3 linked regions of the Rattus norvegicus genome follow. The protein of the gene in region 1 interacts with the protein of each later gene in a pairwise test. Links are inferred from orthologs where the notes say so. Each region holds a gene or a part of one and is shown in the gene's direction. Other genes may lie near its edges.

What was found.
Region 2: the proteins of Agr2 (region 1) and Pom121 interact in binary tests that used the Homo sapiens proteins (3 or more experiments, as listed by UniProt). The two-hybrid records come from large-scale screens. The link is inferred for Rattus norvegicus from reciprocal best matches to the Homo sapiens genes AGR2 and POM121.
Region 3: the proteins of Agr2 (region 1) and Fabp2 interact in binary tests that used the Homo sapiens proteins (3 or more experiments, as listed by UniProt). The two-hybrid records come from large-scale screens. The link is inferred for Rattus norvegicus from reciprocal best matches to the Homo sapiens genes AGR2 and FABP2.

The regions. Positions count from the first base shown.
Region 1 is NC_086024.1:58,434,293-58,438,044, forward strand, and holds the start of Agr2 (anterior gradient protein 2 homolog precursor), read left to right. Parts: upstream 1-1,615; 5' UTR 1,616-1,835; intron 1,836-3,752. UniProt on the Homo sapiens protein: Required for MUC2 post-transcriptional synthesis and secretion. May play a role in the production of mucus by intestinal cells. Proto-oncogene that may play a role in cell migration, cell differentiation and cell growth. Promotes cell adhesion.
Region 2 is NC_086030.1:26,919,948-26,923,599, forward strand, and holds part of Pom121 (nuclear envelope pore membrane protein POM 121), read left to right. Parts: intron 1-485; coding exon 486-657; intron 658-1,867; coding exon 1,868-1,959; intron 1,960-2,628; coding exon 2,629-2,702; intron 2,703-2,978; coding exon 2,979-3,103; intron 3,104-3,207; coding exon 3,208-3,310; intron 3,311-3,652. UniProt on the Homo sapiens protein: Essential component of the nuclear pore complex (NPC). The repeat-containing domain may be involved in anchoring components of the pore complex to the pore membrane. When overexpressed in cells induces the formation of cytoplasmic annulate lamellae (AL).
Region 3 is NC_086020.1:213,723,313-213,727,064, forward strand, and holds the start of Fabp2 (fatty acid-binding protein, intestinal), read left to right. Parts: upstream 1-1,316; 5' UTR 1,317-1,328; coding exon 1,329-1,395; intron 1,396-2,652; coding exon 2,653-2,825; intron 2,826-3,752. UniProt on the Homo sapiens protein: FABPs are thought to play a role in the intracellular transport of long-chain fatty acids and their acyl-CoA esters. FABP2 is probably involved in triglyceride-rich lipoprotein synthesis.

The DNA.
Region 1 (3,752 bases):
TGCTTCCTCCTTTGAAGGGAATAAATACTTAGTTAAGGCAATCACATCAAGAGCTGTATTAACACAAATCAATTCAGGCCTGACTATTACAGGAAACTGCTTTTATGCTCTGATCTACTCAGATTGATCTACAGTTCCGGAGACTATTCAAGATGTCAATGGAGGATTCATCAGAATGAAGCACTTGCCTAGCAGGAGAGACAGTGAGACAGTGGCCTGAATACAAACCCCAACACAGCACACGCACGTGCGCGCGCGCGCACACACACACACACACACACACACACACCGAGAGAGAGAGAGAGAGAGAGAGAGAGAGAGAGAGAGAGAGAGAGAGAAAGGGAAGGAGAAGGAAAGACATTGGCCTGAATAGAAACTGTAACACTGCACACACACACACACACACACACACACACACACACACACACTCACACACCACGAGAGAGAGAGAGAGAGAGAGAGAGAGAGAGAGAGAGAGAAAGGGAAGGAGAAGGAAAGACATTGGCCTGAATAGAAACTGTAACACTGCACACACACACACACACACACACACACACACACACACACACTCACACACCACGAGAGAGAGAGAGAGAGAGAGAGAGAGAGAGAGAGAGAGAGAGAGAGAGAGAAGGAAAGACATTGGCCTGAATAGAAACTGTAACACTGCAGACAGACACACACACACACATACAACTTCTCACCCTGTTCAAAGCAAGCTTTTGTTTTTGTGTGATTTTGATGAAAATAAAGGCATAAAAATTAACTTCCTGTCTACCGAAACTATGTATAAGGGGAAAAACCCTAGAAAATATCACCTGGAAACTGAGGAAAATGCCCTTTGTAGAAATCTAGTAAGTGCAATAAGAATATAGTAAGATACACTCTTGTGATAAGACAGTAAGAGTCTCAGTCTGTCCTTTGCACAAGTATAGAAATGATACTTGTATTCTCTTCTTAATGTGGAACCAGCTAAAGAAACTGGCATGTAAGTGCTCATGGCCAGAGAGACCTGCCTGGGGCTAGCTCAAAGGCTCTGCAGACAGCTGTAATGTGGTTCAGTGGAAGAAGTCTTGCTTGCCTAGAGTACATGAGGCACTGGGTTCAATACCACACAGAAATAAAAAAATAAACACAAACACACACATACACACACACACACACACACACACACACACACACACACACACACCACACCACACCACACCAAAGGCTCTCTGGAAGCGTGCCTACAACCCAACATACTAGACTCCAACAGAAAAATAATCCTCTCGGTGAGCTCACAAACAGAAGGTATAGGATGCTTCCTGAAATATGTCTCCCACAACAATGCAATGGGCTTCTTAAGCCCTGCTAATTTATGTTTAAATTTATGAAGGAAATGCTTATCAGGAAAGAAAGACTGTAAGAGATGGTTGTAAAAATAGGCAGGTGGGTTGAAAGAGACTCTAGAAATGAAAACGGAAACCTTAAATCTGTTGAGTAAATGTGTCCAGGTGTTAGGGGAAGAGAAAAAAATGGCTCTGAGTCGCTAGGAGGACTCATTTTGCATTTTATGAAAAGGAAAGCTTCCTGGAATGTTCGAAGGACAGCACCTTGCCCCAGTTCTAACAATCTTTAAGGTACAAGAGTTCTCTCCAGAGTTCCAGGGCCAGTGGCATCACAGATGACTAGCCTGGAAGGGTCCTTCCACATTCCTTTGTAACAAGGCACTCTTCCTACTGAATGTACGGGCATCCTCACCAAACACAACTCTGAATAAGGTCTAGCTGAGGTGCTGAGACTGGAAAGACAGCAGCTGTTGGAAGCAGCATCTTACTTCTCTTCCTTTTGCGGTAAGCACTGAGTTTATGCGTGATCCTGGAACTACTCACTTGTACTTTGGTGTCCGTGTCCCTGCTGCTGAACCACAGTTGGAAATGAATTATATAACTTCTCACACTCCGCCAGCACGCAGAACGTTGGCAAATACTTAACAGACATTGGCCCTGTGGACACCACTTTCTTAGTGCTGACTTCCTGTTTCTGAACTTAATAAATCTTTGCGGCATCATTGCCTAACCTGAAATGTTCCTCCACGGTGCCTTGCAAAAAGCAAACAGCTACAAAATCAGAGCCTCAGAATGATATGTGCTCCTGGTGAAAGGTGTCATTCTCAAAAATTGTGTCCTTTCCTTGGTCTTTTGTACCCCTGAAACTGACAGAGTTTCCAAGTACCAAGATGTGACAGGATATACTATTGTTCTTATATGACATGCATTGAGGATTCTTCTTTAAGTTTACTCTTTCTTGGGTTACGCATTCCTGAGTAAATATTAACTGACTTTAGACATGACTACTGGTTTGTTCTAGCTCAGAACATGTGGTCAGTCAACAAAGGACAGTGGTCTTGCCAAAATGCAGTAGCATATACTATTCAAACGGGTTAGAACAGCTATACAACGTAACTCAAAATACATATTTCACTTTTACGTCCACCAGTAGTTTTTTTGATGAAAATTATCTTTTGAAATTCATACCTTGCTTTAGAAATGTCAGGGACACCATTTACTCTTCTCAACCACTCTCCAGGGTACAGTAATAGCTAATTTTCTCCATGACTTTAATGGGCATGAAGAAACTAATATAAAACATGGAGAAAGCTGGGCAGTGGTGGTGCATGTGTTTAATCCCAGCACTTGGAAAGCAGAGGCAGCTGGATCTCTGAGTTTGAGGCCAAAGTGGCCTACAGAGCAAGTTCCAGGACAGCCAGAGCTGCAGAGGGAAACCCTGTCTCAAACAAAAAACACAAAAACAAACAAACAAAAACACAGTACTGAAAGACCTTTACCATGAAAGCAAGCTTCAAGAAGAAAAGAATATAAGATATGAATTACCAGTTAAACTATTATTTCTAAAAAATAATCTCTACACGGCTTTGTGTGTACGTAGGTGTATGTGTGTGTGTGTGTGTGTGTGTGTGTGTTTGTGTGTGTGTGTGTGTATCAGGTACACATATAGATATCAGTTGTAAGGCATTTGCCTAGCATGCATGAGGTCCTAGTTTCAGTTTCTAGTACTAGGGAAAAATAGAAGCCCTGTGTTAAAAACTCAGAAATCATAGCGTCAGTTCTCTCATAGTTTGTTGTCTTGTGTTGTGTTGTCTTTGTGTTGCGTTGTGTTTATCTGTTCATTAGTAAACTGAGTCTTACTGTGTAACCCAAGCTGGCCCAGAAGTCATAACTCTCTTGCTTTACTGTCACAAGTCTGGAAATAGCTACAGATTTTGACAACAATTTGAGACACTATACACTAGCTTTCAGAAATTTTCAGCCACTTTCACAATTTATCTGGGTTTTTTCCTCTCCTTGCTATCTAGAAGTCATTCGACCCGGTTTCCTAAAGAAATCTGAGCTGCAAATGTCACAGGTTGAGGAACTGCCTTTTGAACAGTTTCTCAGGAAATAAAGCAAGTGTGGTACCTAGATACAGTGGAATTCTACACAGCCATAAAGAAAACTGAAATCATGACTTACAGGGAAAGGGGTACAACTTGCGGTCATTATGTTAAGTGAAATAAAGCAGACTCACTTAAAAAATACTATATGTTTCCTGTTACAGAAAGAGCCTAAATTTTAAACTGTGTGTAAATGCATATAATGCATGCACACATATGTGTGCACGGGTGTGTGTTCTTACGTATGTATGTTTGCTGGTCATGAAATTAGGAGAGCATGAGAGGTCAGATAGGATCTTAAAGGAAGTAAGAAATA
Region 2 (3,652 bases), on another chromosome or scaffold:
CACAGGTGTCTGGGAGCTAGCTAAAGCGGTGGAGTGCTGGTGGAAGGAGGGGACATTGCTGGCTCTGCTGCAGCAGGATGCCCAGGTGAGAGAGAAGAAGCACACTGCCACAGTTGTCCGTGAACTGGTTTATGGTTGATGCGGGTTGCCCTGGGAAATGGTAAGGGGACCATACCGTAACAGGGCTAAGCAACACAGAAAGGACTATGGGAGATTTCTCTTTTTGGTTGGAGTCTCAGGACAGAGTAGTTGGTGCTCAACTCTTGAGGTTTTTTTTAGCAGCTTTATTGAGGGATCATTGACAGATGTTAAACTGATGTCCCCTTGATGCCACAATCAAGGTGTAGCTCTTCCTGTTTGTGTTTCCCATGCTGTGGCTTACCCAGTCACTTTGTCAGATACAGGCGGCCATATCATCTGTTGATAGTGCCCTCGGTCACACACCTGCCTGCAGTAGCCTATGTCCTCCTCTTCCTTTCTGTTAGGCCTGGCTCCCTGAAGAGAAGTCTGGCTTCCCAGAGCTCGGATGACCACTTGAACAAACGGTCTCGCACCTCCTCTGTGAGCTCCCTGACTAGCACATGCACAGGAGGCATCCCCAGCTCCAGCCGCAACGCCATCACCAGCTCCTACAGCTCCACCCGAGGTGTCTCACAGGTGGGTCTCCATGAGCAAAGGAGCAGACCTCCCTCCTGCTTTGCACTGAACCTGGCTCTAGCCTGAAGTAGCAAATAAACGAGATCAGTGGGATAAACAGCAAGCAAACCTGGTACAGAGAGCCTGCAGATAGAGACTGAAAAGCAGTGCGGTAAATGGGACTGAAAGAGTTTGTTCAGTGTGGAATATAAAGGAGATTTATAGGCAACTAGAATTTAGTGTGAGTTTTGATGCATGAAGAAGTTGTCATTCTTGTTTAGAGTTAGTTAGCGTCCATAGGTGGGGAAGCCAGGCAGCCCCACTGGCAGGCGTGCTTGGGGTTGAGTATTGGTATTGACACTAGGAGCTGCACAGGCTCCTGCAGGTAGATCAGTCGCCCTTTGTGTTTTTCCTTTTGTTTTTGAGACACGGTCTCATGTGTCCCCTGGCTGTCCTGAAGCTTGCTGTACCTCAGGTTGGGCTTGAACGAGCAATGAGCCTCCTCTTTCTGCCTCCTGAGGATTAGGTCTCCAGCTTGCACCTCCATACCCAGCTGGTATTTTATATTCATATTCATATTCATGGGGTGTCAGAATCTGTAAAAGTGCAGGGTGTACTTGTTATTGTAGGTGATTTTTGTTGAAATAATGAATACAAGTATTACCTTTTTATTTTTTTTTTTAATTTCTTTTTTTTAACTTATTATTTTGCAGTGTGTGGTGGAATACATGGTCTACGTAGTAAATTGCAATCAGGGCTATGCAGTAAGACATGGTCTTAAAAAAAATAAAAGAAAAGAAAAATTATTTGGGCCTCTGAGAGTTTAGGGGCAACATATGCATGCAGGTGCCCAGAGGCCACCAATCTCCTAGAATAGGATTATAGTACTTGTGAGCAGTCTGGTGTGGAGGCTGGGAACCAACCTGGGTCGTCCTCAAAAGCAGCAAGTGTTTCTTAACCACTGAGCCAGCTCTCCACACTCTCAAAAAGGTTATTTTTAGTTTTGCTGTAGTTGTTTGTTTTTCTTTTTAGTTTTTTCAGACACAGTCTCTCAGTAAAATAGCCCTGGCTGTTCTAGAACTAAATATGTAGACCTGTCTGGCCTTGAACTCAAAAAATCCACCCTCCTTTGCCTCCCTAGTGCTGGGATTAAAGGTGTGTGCCTCACCGTCTGGCCAGTTCAGAACATCTGCCAGTAATGGTCTCAGATGTGTCTCTGCTTGACTTGCAGCTGTGGAAGAGGAGTGGTCCCACCTCTTCTCCCTTCTCCAGCCCAGCTTCCTCCCGCTCCCAGACACCAGAGAGGCCAGCCAAGAAGACAAGGTGATCATCATTCCCTCCTGGTCACTTTGTATGGACGGGGCAATGGGCTTAACAGGGATTAGCTGGTGGGCTGCTTTTTCTGACTCAGCAAATCAAAGAGTCAAACCCCAGAAAAGTAGCAAAGAGCCTGCTAGAGTTATGTCCCTGTCCTACAGTGAGAGCAGCTGATGGCTGGAGTTCCTTCTCTGTCTCATACTCCACTGGGAGTGGTGCAGAGTGGACCCGGTCAACAGGGAGCCTGAGTCTCTCGCCCCAGTTCACCCTTCCCTGGAGCTCAGCTCCCTCAAGGATCAGGTCTGTCTGTGTCTGGCCCCACCTCCCTACCTGCCACCCAGCCTTTTTTTATTTTGTATGTCTGTCTGTCTGTCTTGGGCCTGCTTCCTCACCAGTTCCTCCTTGTTCCTGGCACTAACCTACCGTTAGAGCCTGAAGATGTAGTCTGGGACCCTGGACTTGGCAGGCTTTGAGTAAAGCTTTGCAGATCCCTGTTCTGTATTTGATTAAAGGCTGGTTGTTCATGGCCTCTGTCAACTCATAGTGATATGCTGACACCTAGAGCTGTGGTTTTTCTAGACTTTGCCTGTGTAGGAATGTGCAAGTGTGTGTGGGGGGTGCCATGCAGCCTCCAGGCCTTCCCAAGTAAACCCTAGCTTTTCACAATCTCCACAGAGAGGAGGAACCATGTCACCAGTCCAGTTCTTCAGCTCCCTTGGTGACAGACAAGGAGTCCCCAGGAGAAAAGGGTAAGTAGAGAAGCCATGGGAGCCGAGAGTGGCATCTCCAGTGGAAGTTAGCCACTGTGAGGCTTGGAAGATAGTTGTAGCCCTTTGGAGGTCCAGCATAGGAAGAGTGTCCACTGCAGAATATGAGGACTGCCAGGCCATGAGCTCAGGGTTGGGCTCTGAGGAGTGGGGTCACAGCTGTTCCGGAAGCAGTCAGAAACAACACTAACACAGAAAACAATCTCTTCCAAACTGTCTTGACCTTACTAGGGAGGCCAGCAACCCTTGTTTCTGTAGTTACAGATCCAGCCACGGGGAAGCAGCAGAGCCTGTGGACTTCCCCACCCACACCTGGCAGCTCCGGGCAACGCAAACGCAAGATTCAGCTGCTGCCCTCCCGGCGAGGGGACCAGCTCACCTTGGTATGTCTTATCGATCCCTCTCAGCTCTTTTAGTCTTAGGGAGTCTGGGGCAGGTTTCCACAGCTTCTGGGGTTGGTCTAACCTGTCTCTGTTTGCTTGGGCAGCCTCCACCCCCTGAGCTTGGCTATTCCATCACTGCTGAAGACCTGGACATGGAGAGGAGAGCCTCACTGCAGTGGTTTAACAAGGTCTTGGAGGATAAGACGGGTAAGACTGTGGAGCTCAGCATGCTCTGTGTGTGTTTCAGCTTTCCTGGGGAGAGAAGTTGTAGAATACTTGATTTTTCCATTTAGTTCTGAGTCTCATCTTCCAAGACTGCCTTCAGAGTCATAATACTGCTGCTTCAGCCTCCAAAGTGCAGGGTTTCAGATGTGTGCCATCACAACCAGCTCTTGGGTCTTTGTCCCCACTTGTTCTACCAGGGGCCTTATTACCAGGAGCTGTCACCAATACTTTCCCATGGGAAATGGGAGTTTTGAATTGTGTGTGAAAATAGAGTTACTGTGTAACTGCTTAGTCTCCCATTCATAGTCCTCTTGCCTGCACTCC
Region 3 (3,752 bases), on another chromosome or scaffold:
AGAAAACATAGCTTCAAATACGAACATTGACTGGAGTATGTTGCTGGAGGTCGGCGTGGGGGGAGGGAGGGAGGGAAACTGGATTTGATTATGCCTGTATTGAAATGTCATGCTGAATTCCTTAATTTGCATAATTTACTCACATTAGTCAAGAACAAAACATTTAAAAAAATAAAGAGGTAGCTGATATGTAAATACTGAAAACACATTCGGTGAAAAGATTCAAACATAAAAAGACTACCTGATATATAATTATATTTGTATGAAATGTCCATAGAGGTAGAAAGTGGATGGGAACCTAATGGTCTAAAAATAGAAAATGAGAGCTGGAGAGATGGCTCAGCAGTTAAAAGCACTGACTGCTCTTCCAGAGGACCTGAGTTCAATTCCCAGCAACCACATGGTGGCTCACAACCATCTGTAATGGGATCTGATGCCCTCTTCTGGTGTGTCCAAAGACAGCGGTGGTGTACTCACATACATAAAGTAAAAAATTCTTTAAAAAAAAAATAGAAAATGAAAACCCACTGCTTAAAATGTATGCAGTTTCTTTTGGGGATAATGACACTGTTTCAGAATATGATAATAGAGATGTTTGGGCAAATAGTTTATATACTAAATTTTAGATTGATTTGATATCAATAAAATAACCTTAGGAACACAGAAAAATTAAAATACATTTTTTAGTTCCAATAATCACTTAAACTTTAACTTTGCAATTGCACTTTTGTATAGTTTGTTCAACTCCTGTTAAAGATTCGTGGTATAAGTCTCACATCCCAGTTGTTTGACGTTTCTTACAAATGATACATAGTTACATAATTACATAGTTACACCTGCTGTAGAGTGTGCACTTTGAACCTGTAAATAGAAAAGTATCTTGAGGGTTTTTTCTTCTTGTTGTTGTTTGTCTGTTTGGTTTGGTTTATCGCCTGATTCATTCTTGTTGTTTGTCTTTTGGCTGGAGTGGAACTCCTTATTACAGCAGGCTAGAATTGTCTGCCTCTGCTTCTGGAGAGCTCGGATTAAAGGTGGAAGCCATCACACTTGACCCTAATTCTTGGAATAAAAATGCCTACATGCTGTAGTCGGAGACAGAGTAGGTATGGTTACCAAATTTGAATGCAGTTGAATCTCAGCAATAGATTCAAAGAAAGCACTAGAAGAGAAACTAAAGGGGCCTGGCATGCAAAACTGCCAGGTTATCTCTTGAACTTTGAACTTCCACATCATGGTATGAATTGGTTCGAAGATAAGAAATAGAATAAATTCTCTCTAGTGGACAGGACCGAATCTCTGCTTTCCTAGAGGCACACACAGCTGACATCATGGCATTTGATGGCACTTGGAAAGTAGACCGGAATGAGAACTATGAAAAGTTCATGGAGAAAATGGGTAAGGGCTGGCTTCCTGTCTATTTGCTTTCTCCTGTCTGTAGTTACTGAATGACTTGGGATGTGGTAAGGTTCTAGGCGTGATTGTTCAGAGCCAGGAAACCCATATTTGCACTTCCTGCTTTAGGAAGAATATCTTGTTTCGCTAGGGCAAGCCCTGCTCTCTGAAACACACCAAGGAAGAGCCACCTGTGGTTTCTTCCCTTGCCTGATAATTGTGTAAAAACTGACATGTTTGTGTTCATTTAAAAAAGAATAGTATGGTGAGTTATGATAATTTCAAGAGCTTAAAAAAAAAACCACTAGCCTATAGGGGATTTAAAAAGCAAGGATCTTTTAATAAAGAAAAGAATTTTGTCAAAACTCAGCTTGAATAAATCATATGGAATTCTTTTCTCTGACTTATCTAACTTCAGGAATAAGTATAAAAAGCGGTATATTCTTCACAGAGGTGTAATTTAACAATATTATACATATTTGCTAATATCCTGGTAGCCTACACTACAAACTGGGCAAACATGCTTCATTTCTCAAAATAAAGCCTGAATAAATTATCTCTTTCACTTGAGGGATTGTGAATTGAAGTTTATAAAATTTCGTATTATAATGAATTAATCATAAAATGTCATTATAATTTTTCTGGATTAGGCCAATGAGGAATGCTACAAAGAGTCAATAGAATTACGAGGCAAACAAACCATGGTGTACGCCAGGGATCTCAACAGTCCTGAAGAGTGAAAAGAGAGGACTGTGAGTTATAGGCTAGCCTGTGCTATGCAGTAAGTTTGGGGCCTGCCTGAGTTACACACTAAGACCTGGTTCCAAACAACAACAAAATAAATACAAGCAATTTTGAAAGCAAAGTAGTGTTGGAAATAAATACTCAAACCTGAGCGTGTGTCTCTTTAATATATCAATATGCCTCTTAATACTTCACTTGACGTTGCTGAAATTTGCCTGATCATGGAAGCGAAAGGTCGGCTAATCTCGTTCATGCTATCCAGGGCTGAGGTGCTACCGTTTGTGGCTTCATTTACATTTTCTTACTTTGGAAAAGCAGCTTGAACCTTCCCTGGATCTGCCAGTGCTTCTCCCTTTTTCTCTAGAAGCCTGTTGGTGCTGTTTGCATACATGACACTATTTGCTTTTTCTTCCACACCCACAAAATAAAGATGAGCAAATGGAAACAGAACTTGGGAAGAGAAACCCTTTGGGTGACATTCTAATCTCACGCTCCCTCCATCTCTCTCCTTTGCAGGCATTAATGTGGTGAAGAGGAAGCTTGGAGCTCATGACAACCTGAAACTGACGATCACACAGGAAGGAAATAAATTCACAGTCAAAGAATCAAGCAACTTCCGAAACATTGATGTTGTGTTTGAACTCGGCGTCGACTTTGCCTATAGTCTAGCAGATGGAACAGAACTCACTGTAAGACATTTTCATAGGCAGAACATTTTGATTTTTTTTTTTTACCAATACAAAATGGTTTATCTCATGGAAAGAGCAGCTAATGCAAACCTTCTTCATTTACTGAAAAGGCCGCAAATATCTTATATTATGCACATTGACAAAATGTTTAATATAGTACTTCACTATGTATGTGTCTGTGAAAAAGCTATACTGAATAATAAGACTCAGATCAACCCTCTCAGATTGACTGAGTGTAGGGACAGTCTCAAGGAAATGTGAAGTTCTATATTTTCAACTCTACATGCAGGTGGCCCACAAGCTTTTAGCGTTCATGATATTCAAACTTAATAACCGCTTTGTAAATGCACTTGAACAATAAAGGTGGGGAGTGTAGGTGAATCAGGAGACTACGGCAAGCACAAACCCCAGCAGTGTATAAAACTGGCCATGGTCGCAAGGCCTGAGATCCCAGGACTTGGGAACTGGAGTTCATAAAGTCAAGCTTGTCCTCAGATGCAGACTAAGTGTGAGGCTAGCTTGGGCTACATGAGATCTCAGCTGATAAAACGACTATTAAACAATTAATGATGAATAAACGAGTAGCCACATGTGAAAGGCTAATGTATCATAGGTCATTAAGTATGGCTCTTTCAACGGAAAAGATAAAAAAAATTTAGGAGATAAGCTTTTCAACTAATTTTTCAAAATGTTTTTTAGCCTTGGGGTGTGTGTGTGTGTGTGTGTGTGTGTGGTGGTGTGTGTGGTGTGTATGTGTGTTTATGTGTGTGTGGTGTGTACGTGTGTGTGTTTGTGTGTGTGGTGTGTATGTGTGTGGTGTGTATGTGTGTTTGTGTGTGTATATGTGTATGTGTGTTTGTGTGTGTGTGGTGTGTGTGTGTATGTGTATGTGTGTTTGTGTGTGTGTGTATGTGTGTGTTTATGTGT